Linked DNA regions of Danio rerio. The protein of the gene in region 1 purifies or fractionates together with the protein of each later gene. This does not show direct contact. Links are inferred from orthologs where the notes say so. Each region holds a gene or a part of one and is shown on either strand. Other genes may lie near its edges.

Evidence for each region. The genes of interacting proteins can lie anywhere in the genome.
Region 2: the proteins of akap11 (region 1) and prkar1aa purify together in Homo sapiens (affinity purification with mass spectrometry; 3 studies listed by BioGRID and IntAct, counting the BioPlex papers as one, with this or other methods). This does not show direct contact. The link is inferred for Danio rerio from reciprocal best matches to the Homo sapiens genes AKAP11 and PRKAR1A.

The regions. Positions count from the first base shown.
Region 1 is NC_133184.1:19,606,168-19,610,534, reverse strand, and holds part of akap11 (A-kinase anchor protein 11), read right to left. Parts: intron 2,936-4,367; 5' UTR 2,898-2,935; coding exon 2,835-2,897; intron 2,730-2,834; coding exon 2,619-2,729; intron 1-2,618. UniProt on the Homo sapiens protein: Binds to type II regulatory subunits of protein kinase A and anchors/targets them.
Region 2 is NC_133178.1:35,127,758-35,132,818, forward strand, and holds the start of prkar1aa (cAMP-dependent protein kinase type I-alpha regulatory subunit), read right to left. Parts: upstream 3,435-5,061; 5' UTR 3,337-3,434; intron 1-3,336. UniProt on the Homo sapiens protein: Regulatory subunit of the cAMP-dependent protein kinases involved in cAMP signaling in cells.

The DNA.
Region 1 (4,367 bases):
AATATTTTGTTAAAAAATAGACTAGAGCACCATCTGTTTTAAAATAATAATAATAATAATAATAATAATAATAATAAAATAGCCTAGTGCATAATCTTCTGTTTCAAAATAATAATAATAAAATAGCCTAGTGCATAATCTTCTGTGAAAAAACTAGCCTAGAGCACTATCTGATCTTAAAAATTAGCCTAGAGCACTAACTGTAGTTAAAACTAGCCTAGAGCACTAACTGTGGTTAAAACTAGCCTGGAACACTATATGATGTTAAAAACTAGCCTAGAGCACTATCTGTAGTTAAAAACTAGCCTAAAGCATTATCTGCTGTTAAAAAAACTAGCCTAGAGCACTATCTGTAGTTAAAAACTAGCCTAAAGCATTATCTGCTGTTAAAAAAACTAGCCTAGAGCACTAGCTGCTGTTAAAAACTAGCTTACAGCACTATCTGCAGTTAAAAACTAGCCTAGAGCACTATCTGTACTTAAAAACTAGCTTACAGCACTATCTGCGGTTAAAACTAGGCTAGAGCACTAGCTGTAGTTAAAAACTAGCCTCGATCCTCATCTGCTGATTAAAAAAAAAAAAAAAACTAATAAGGGTTTTGCCAAGAAGAAATGTTCTGTCTATGTTCACAAAATTAGAGCCGTGTTAAAAAAATTGCTTACAAAATTGATTTTGTGAATTTCAAAATGTATCACTAATCTTTTGTTTTTTCACAACAGATGGCTAGTTTTATTACTAGTTTATTTTTTTTCTATGCATTTTGGCTGTTTGTCCAGACTTGAATCACACAACTTAGTGTAAGGAGACTGAAACTGACAACTTCTGAAAACTCCGGGTACAGTGTGGCCATGTTGACACTATAACCAAAGTTTTTCCCTAATAATGTGTTTTCTCCTTTGTGATTGGCCTTTGTGATTGGCCTTTCTCCTTTGTGATTGGCCTAAACCTTTTCTAACATTTTTGACTGTTTTAGGTTCATGTGGTATTTATAAGAAATTGGATGCAAGAAGTGTTCAGCAGCTTAAAAAGCATTCAGCTCCATCTGCTGTATAAAAACTAAATTGATTTAAGAGAGAATAACAAGGCATTTTGAAAATTCAGAATCAAAGCAGAGTTGACTTCTCTAACACTTTTTCACCTCAGCATGACGTTGTCAACAAAAGACAGTTACAGTGTTTGAGGCCATTTGTCACCATTTAGGGAAAACCATACAGTGTTGATATGCTAATTTTCATCATTGTATATAAAGTTTCCTAACCAATGGCTTGCGATTTTCAAAAGTTCAAAATCAACTCTGTATTCAAATAGCATTGCGATGTTACATTCAGTGTTGCATTAATAGCTTGTTCATCCTAAATATAAGTGTGCTATAAAAACAAATCACTTTAAAGATGGCAGCACTGTTGTGAATAGATTCAAATCATAAACAAAATGTAACATTTTGTTCAATTTTAACCAATTCTGGATTCAATATCCCATGCACAAAGAATTCAGGAAAAAAATATAGATACAGTAGAGAATTGTTTTGGAATCAAAAAGTGACTCAGAATACGGTCAGATTATGAAGTCCCATCCCTACTTAAGGATCTGGCACAAACATTTCAGCAGTTCAGAATTGATTCTTTCTTTTAAGATACAATGACCTTATTTGACACAAACTTTGATGTAGGGCTGGGTGATTTGGCCTAAAATTAAAATCTCAATTAATTGAACATTTTAACTTGAGCACAATTAATGAACGACTATTTTATTAAATTTGTTTGTACATTAAATATACTCACTAATTACAAGTGAGATATTTTGGAATGGAGGGTGCATTACTTGATTTTAAAATAACCGAAAGAAATAATCTGACTTCTGAAATCTATCTATGATTATTTATTAAACATCAATGTTGAACAATTGAAATTAAAACACACATTGCCTAAAACCAACAGTCATTTTTTTCTTATAATAAAAAAATGAAAATAAATAACTCGCACTTTTGGATACAAAACTAATTATTTTTAATGTTTTCCATTTTTAAAGTAGAAACAAAGCAGCATCTCTTCTAAATAAAATAACTCTTGTATATCCTGTAAATAATATTTTAAACAGTGCATTTCTTGAATCTTCTGTAAAGAAATTTTTAATGTAAATAAGAGTTTTATTGTAAAGAAAAATATGCCATCTTTGGCACAGCTTCCAATCATCGTCACTGTAGTGCAAACGTGTAATGTATACTTAAATTTTTTGAGAGGTGCACTTAAATACGACCGCACGAAGGCTGCACCGGACCATACCCGTGCGTTCAACATAGAAGTTTAAAGTATAAAGCCTTAACTGAGCAGGGTCATGTGACTCCACACGTGGTAGGGAAAGTAATTGAAAAATTTGACCTGGAAAAACTTGATCGATCATAGGTACTGAATGTCGATTTTGATTAATTGTTCAGTCCTTCTTTGATGTTTAAAACTTTGACGACCTCCTCAAACAGCAACATTACAGATTGCAGTATGGATAAATGTTCAAAAGGCGCATAATAAGGGCACAATAAAAGAGTTCCTTTGCAACTTCATGCACATTAAAAAACACCCATATGGAAGTCTGAAATGCATGACGGTGTGTGTGATCCTTACTTCTGACAGACACTGCGGTTCTTTATTATGCAGCTCCACTACCACATTGCACAGCTCCTTTTTGTGTTTCAACAAACTCTTCAGGCACGGGTTTGAGCCCTCACGGATGGTCTGATCAAAGAAATATAAAGTATGTTAGAAACTGCAGGAGATTCCCACAAAAAATAACACCACAGATATGTTTTAGGAGAAAAAAAACTTCAATCAACAGCATACCTCTTTCTTCATGGTGGCACGGCTCTTTATTGGGATACCTCTGATCCGTGCACAGGCGTCCATGATGTTGCTTGGCTGGACAGGAGGTTCTCCTCTCCTTTAAGACAAATCAGCCCATTTAATTATCACATCTCATAACAATTGTCAATTAGGCTACAAATAATTCCATAGACTCTACAGTAGCTACATTAACATGCACTCAAACAATCTGTTTATAAATGGATTGACAGCTCATTAAAACTGGAAAGTCTTATGAATCACTTTCACTCATTAATTGCATTTTAACTGGATTGGACAACGCGACACAGATTTAAAATAATATGAGCAAAGAGAAAACAGGCAAAATTCAGACGACACGTATGGTAGTTAAGTTTTTTTTTTTTTTTTAAAGATGTCATTAAGTTTATAAGAAAAGCATATATTCACATGGAATAAAATAATCTCAAGGGCTTTTTGGTTTGAGAATATTGCAATTGCAACTAGAATGTTTGCATTGTATGCTCATAAATTGTGTTTGGAAAATAAATATTCATGCAAATTGGATTAGAAAGTTTAGGGTTCATATACAGTAAGCAGAACATTTTCTGAAATTGGAATGGATTCACAGAAGGAAACTGGCACATGTAAGAACACAAAACTCAAAGGTTCACAGAAAGATAAAGACCCCAATGACTGCATGTACAACAACAGATTGTTCAAAATGTCTTTTGTTGTTTTATAAGAGTTTAAAAATATAAGAGTTTTTAAAACACAAGAGTATTTAGAAAATTATTTAGTATTTACATTTACATTTAAAGCAGGGTCTCTGCAGGTTCCATCAAACAAATTTAAAGGGCGCCAATGATAAACTTTTGTAAGCTGTTTGGACAGAACTGTGTGTAGGTATACAGTGTATACCAGTCATATCCACATATCCACTGTATACACATATACAGTGTATCCACTGTCATATTGGAGTGATCGAAACCCGACAAGTCTCTTTTTAGGACCCAAATCTCAGTGATTTCAAGGCCCATTTCAACGTGATGTAGGAGTGTGGTTTTCCCCACCCACTGAATTAATTGACAGGCACCATAATTACATGTATACACATGTCCACAAAAAAAAAAAAAAATCATAAAGAAACCGGGATTAACATATCTGTTCAAATCTTTGTGATTTTTATAAGTCTTCATTCATTCATTCATTTTCTTGTCAGTTTATTAGTCCCTTTATTAATACGGGGTCGCCACAGCAGAATGAACCGCCAACTTATCCAGCAAGTTTTTACGCAGCAGATGCCCTTTCAGCCGCAACCCATCTCTGGGAAACATCCAAACACACACTCATACTCTACGGACAATTTAGCCTACCCAATTCACCTGTACCGCATGTCTTTGGACTGTGGGGGAAACCGGAGCACCCGGAACGCCACACAGAAACGCCAACTGAGCCAAGGCTCGAACCACCGACCCAGCAATCTTCTTGCTGTGAGGCGACAGCACTACATACTGGGCCACTGCTTCGCCCTTTTATAAGTATTTTAGGTTTAAA
Region 2 (5,061 bases), on another chromosome or scaffold:
CCTTATTTTTTCCTCACTGTTTAAAAGGGTTAAATTGATGTGTCATATGAGGAAACTAAAATCCTGAAGAACAGCAGCCTCAGAATCATTTACTGGGGAATGAGTTACATTAAAGCTTTCATCTGGTGGTGTCAGTTTCACATACTTGCACAGGTTTCCCTTGGTTTGCCATTGAGGAAATGCAAAACAACAGGGAGAAAGAAAGTTTTATACAGTATTATCTTTCCACAGTAGACGGCATCAACTGGATGCACTGTATTGTTAGAATATCTGTGCTCAGGTCAACACAACAAATTCCTCATGGAGCTCAACATGTGTCAGAATGTAGACATGACGAAACTGAAAGAAGTTATTTTATTTTGTACACAAAAAGCATTGCATCACCTCATTAGAATATGAATATAGCTCATGTAAACCTTACTAAAGTTTTACTTTTATACTAAAAATTTGGCACTTGAAAGTGGTTGTTGCATGGCCTGTCAATAGAAGGACAAACAAACCTATGAACAAACATCTCATCAAACATGTCCTAGGTATGGTAAAGTTATGAGTTTGAAACAACATTGGCAAGTAATTTTTTTGGGAATTTTCATTTTTGGAGACTTTTACTAAGTCATCTTTAGTGTATTTCCAGTTCACAGTCACACATGTTCTTTGAATGGAGGAAAGAAAATAAATGCCTTTGATGCAATAAGTTTTTATTTCACTGTAAATTCTAATATATCATTTAATTTTACATTAACGGTTTCTGAGTAACTAATTACTCATTAAAGGTTTTGGGCTCCATTTATGTGCAGCTGGAAGGAAGTGGTTAAAGGGTGTTCTCGCCAAGCCATCAAACTAACTTCACACAGAACATTGTTCTTGAGTGAAACATTATTTTCAGATTTTAACTGTAGATTTTAAAAATAAATATAATTTTTCTCTGGACTGGCACATATAAACTATCCACCACACGAATAATAATGTGCTTTATTAAAGTAAACATGATGAGTTTTCATTGCATAAAGAATTTAAATACAGAATTACTCAATATAACAATTGTTTTTGTACTGCTGAGACTTTCAGAGAAAACAGTTCAAGACACTAATAAAATCAGGCATCTGGAGTCAGCAGCTTCATTGGCAGCGCTCCAACCCAAGTCATGGCTCAGGGAACTTTCGTAATCCTGCACCCCCTTTCTCCCACTTCATTTCCTGTCCACTGTCCATATATAAATATTGTGTCGTATATCAAGCATACGGGAATAAATTTGGATTTTTGTGGCATCTTTTAAAACACTTACTATACATACATCTTTTGTCATTATCATGTCTTTACTTTGATATAACAGTCATATTAACATATCCATAGGGGAATCCTATTTTCTATTCTCCTACCCTTACACAAACCTTTCTGCAATTTTATCAAACATTTATTATCATTTTTAGTGATTAAGATCCACCTTTTCCAGAATGTGCCTACTGTGTTTTTAAAAATATGGGTGGTATTACTAGTTTTGGCCTTAAACTTTCATCATTTCAAATAATGAAGTTGAATTTCAGATTCATATCTGTAATAAAACTTGAATGAGAGGTATTTATTCTGTTGCACTTCATATTTAACTCTCATGAAAATAAATCAAATTAATACACTTGGTATTTTAACAAAACGTTACTCAAACAACGTCACAATAATATCTATGGCACGAGCTCTTTTCAGTTTGATGCTTTTGCTTCTCCAGATTATTAATTTTCTCTTTATTTTCTCATGTAAATAAAACATTACTGCAGAAAAACTTGTCTCATGACTTGCTGAAAGCAATTTGCTAATTATACTAACTTTCCTTTTAATAGTCAGTGGTTGAACTCAAATATTTCTGTTAGGATAATTAAATTTTAATTTTCAGTGTGAAGTTCTCATTTAAATTTTTTCTAGAGATCTGCCATTGTGGTATATCAGAGCAGTTACTTACATTGAAAGTTTGCATCCATTTTTTTAATCAGTCCTTATTGAGTTTAGTTTTATACATTTGTTTGTTGTAGGCATGGGACAATAACTGTTTTCAAGGTATACCGTAGTTGGAAAAGTCATTTTTTTTTACCTGTCAAATGTTTTTGCTATACCATTCCTGCGGTATATGCAAGATTTCTTTAATAATTTTTTTTGTTTGTTTTTTAGGACAGCAGTATCTCCAACAGAAAAGATACCCAAAAGTGGTGTTTCAAATGGTCCAGAAGTTTGTGTTTTTGAAACTAATAAAACAGCAGAAGTCTACGATTTATTTATAATATTTATCCTGACATGTTCACTGCTCCAAAATACTTAAAATGTTTCTCAAAATAAAATGTGTTCAAAGAGGGGAAAAAAAAAGTTTTTGTTTTTGAAACTGTGATGTTTTCATCTAAGGGTATAATAGTGTCAGAATCTTACACCGGCCCATGTCTACTGACTGTACAGCACTTTAGTACATGTGTAGCTGTAAAGTGCTTACAAGATCAAATAAACGAGAAGGATATGGATTGCAAATATTTATGAGAAATTGTAACTTTTTAACATCTAATGAATTTCTACCTGCACAGAGAAGTTAAATGTGTAAATTAAGAAGATTAAAAAAATGTGTGAAAAAAGAAGAAAAACTAAATGTGTAAAACATTCAAAGTTTTCTGTATAGATATGCATCTTTCTGGTCTTTTTATTTATATTTCAAAATGTCTTTCATGACAGTGGAAGTCCTCTGGATTAAACCCCACGTGAAACATCCAGGTCATAACCAAATCTATCATAAATCCATGCTAGCAGATAGTGATGTTGCTGTTAATACTAAATGTTACAAGCTTCCAAACGTGTTGTCAAACTGAAACAAACTAACATAAATCTTACATCGCATATCTAGTCTAAAATCTCTACTTTAACTTACAATGACACCACACAAAAGCGATATATACTGAACTTTCATCTAACTGTTGATTTTTGACAGCCATGCTATGGCTCCTGGTTCCTGTCGGGGCCCCTGAGCTCATAAAATTCGCAGTTCGCATCCCCACAGGCATTTCTCAACATTACGCCATTCGGTCATGCGAAAACAACCATTTTGGTCCAGAAAACATATTCCAATATAACTAGACTTCATTGAGTCAATGTTAAAGTGTTGATCGGCGTAATCCTGCAGCTTCTTCCAGCTCTGTGTTTTTTGTAACCAGTTTTGTCAAGCAGCAAAATACGCCATCTTGCAAACTACATTATCACAACAACGGAAGCCGATGGCATTAAATTAACGTCTCTACGAGCTTGTCAGCTCGCGTATCGACATCATCAAACGTTACAGTAAAAGCCGCTGTATTTAAATATTCATACCTGAGTCGCTTCGAGGAGTTTGTCGACGTGCTTTACTCCGTTTACACTGATTTTCTCACAGTCCTTGGATGGATGGACGCCTCACCGGAAAAGGTTATGACCAATCACAAACAACGATTGACGTCAATGCGCCTCGATCTGGGAAGCCGGTTTCCCCTGACAACCTTAAAGGGCAAGGGCTTGTTTTTGTATTTAGAGAGGAGATCGAGGTTATCAACCAGAAAACTCAGAACATTCGGCCGCACATGACGTGAGGGTATAAATCACATTTTACGCTCCTCCGGGAGTGACATTCAAATACAGAAGGACAGTATTCCTTACCCACGTGTTTAGCACTGAGAATGAATCTGGTGACAGCTGAAAAGGTTAATGGCTCTGTACATAAACCCAAGCCTAAATTGTGCCAATTCAAGCAGGGTCACAACACTGCGAAGATATGACCCCCCCTTAAAATTAATGTCTGATTGACTGTTATTACAGTACACCCTTAATAATCTAGATTTAAGTTTTCTTTTCCTTCAGCTGAATTGACATCCTGCAAAATATTTTCATTTCCTGAACTTATGCTATGAATCAGGCCATGCAAAATGTGTCAGGGTGAAACCAGGTCCTGTTTTAGTGTCTAGGTTAAGTTTACAAAACAGATTTACAATCATACAAATGTACAATATTATAAAACAGTTGGCGATACCCATTGAATCTATAAGTATTAGTGATATAGTAATTGTGTTTTGCATATATAACTTCTATAATAGTCTGTGTGTGTTCAGCAGATGTAAGATGCTCATAAACGCTTTACCCTCTTGAGATTGAGTAAATGGTTAATAAATGTATTTCTTTTTTGGAACTGTGCAACTTTAAAGGGCACCTATTTTACCACTTTTTCAAGATTTAAGATGAGTCTTTTGTTTCTCCAGAATGTGTCTGTAAAGTTTCAGCTCAAAACAACCATCAGATTATTTATTATACCTTTCTGGATATTTTCTGCTCTGGACAAACTGTAGCTGTTTTTGTTGCCTGTGCCTTTAATGCTAGTTCTCCCCGCCCACCATTCCCAAACTTGTCAGAGTGTGCCACAATCTCAGCTGAGTCAGATAAACAGCACAGTGACAGACAAGAAGGAAGCAGATCTCACGTAATGTTTGTGAGAAATACTACAGTAAGAACTTTACTGATGCTTATTTTTTATGTATTTGTTGTGGAGTTTATTTAAGCCTTTCGATGAGTCACACAGAGTTTTATTACAAAGTGTACACACGCACACACACACACACACACACACACACACACACACACACACACACACACACACACACACACACACACACACACACACACACACAGCACTCGTGTTGAATTTTGCACTGATTTTGCAATGCGAATGTGAGAGGATACATGTTATTATCCACTGCTATATCGATATCTGTAATGTTAATGTACAAAATAAACCTGATTTAACGTCCACAAACCGAGATTGAAGCTTCTTTTATAATTGTACTGACATGCGGCTGTGGTTACAAGTAAAGATGGTAAAATTGCTGTAATTTCTTACAAACATGCACTGTTTTAAAAAAGTTTTTTAACTTGTAAAACTCACTCTTAATAACATTTGGTGATGATTGATGATCACAGAGAGCTGAACAGATCTTTTAATCTCAGTTGCTATGCGCAAGTCCTGTATTGTTGATATTATTATATGCGTTACTATGGAGACATGTTTATGCA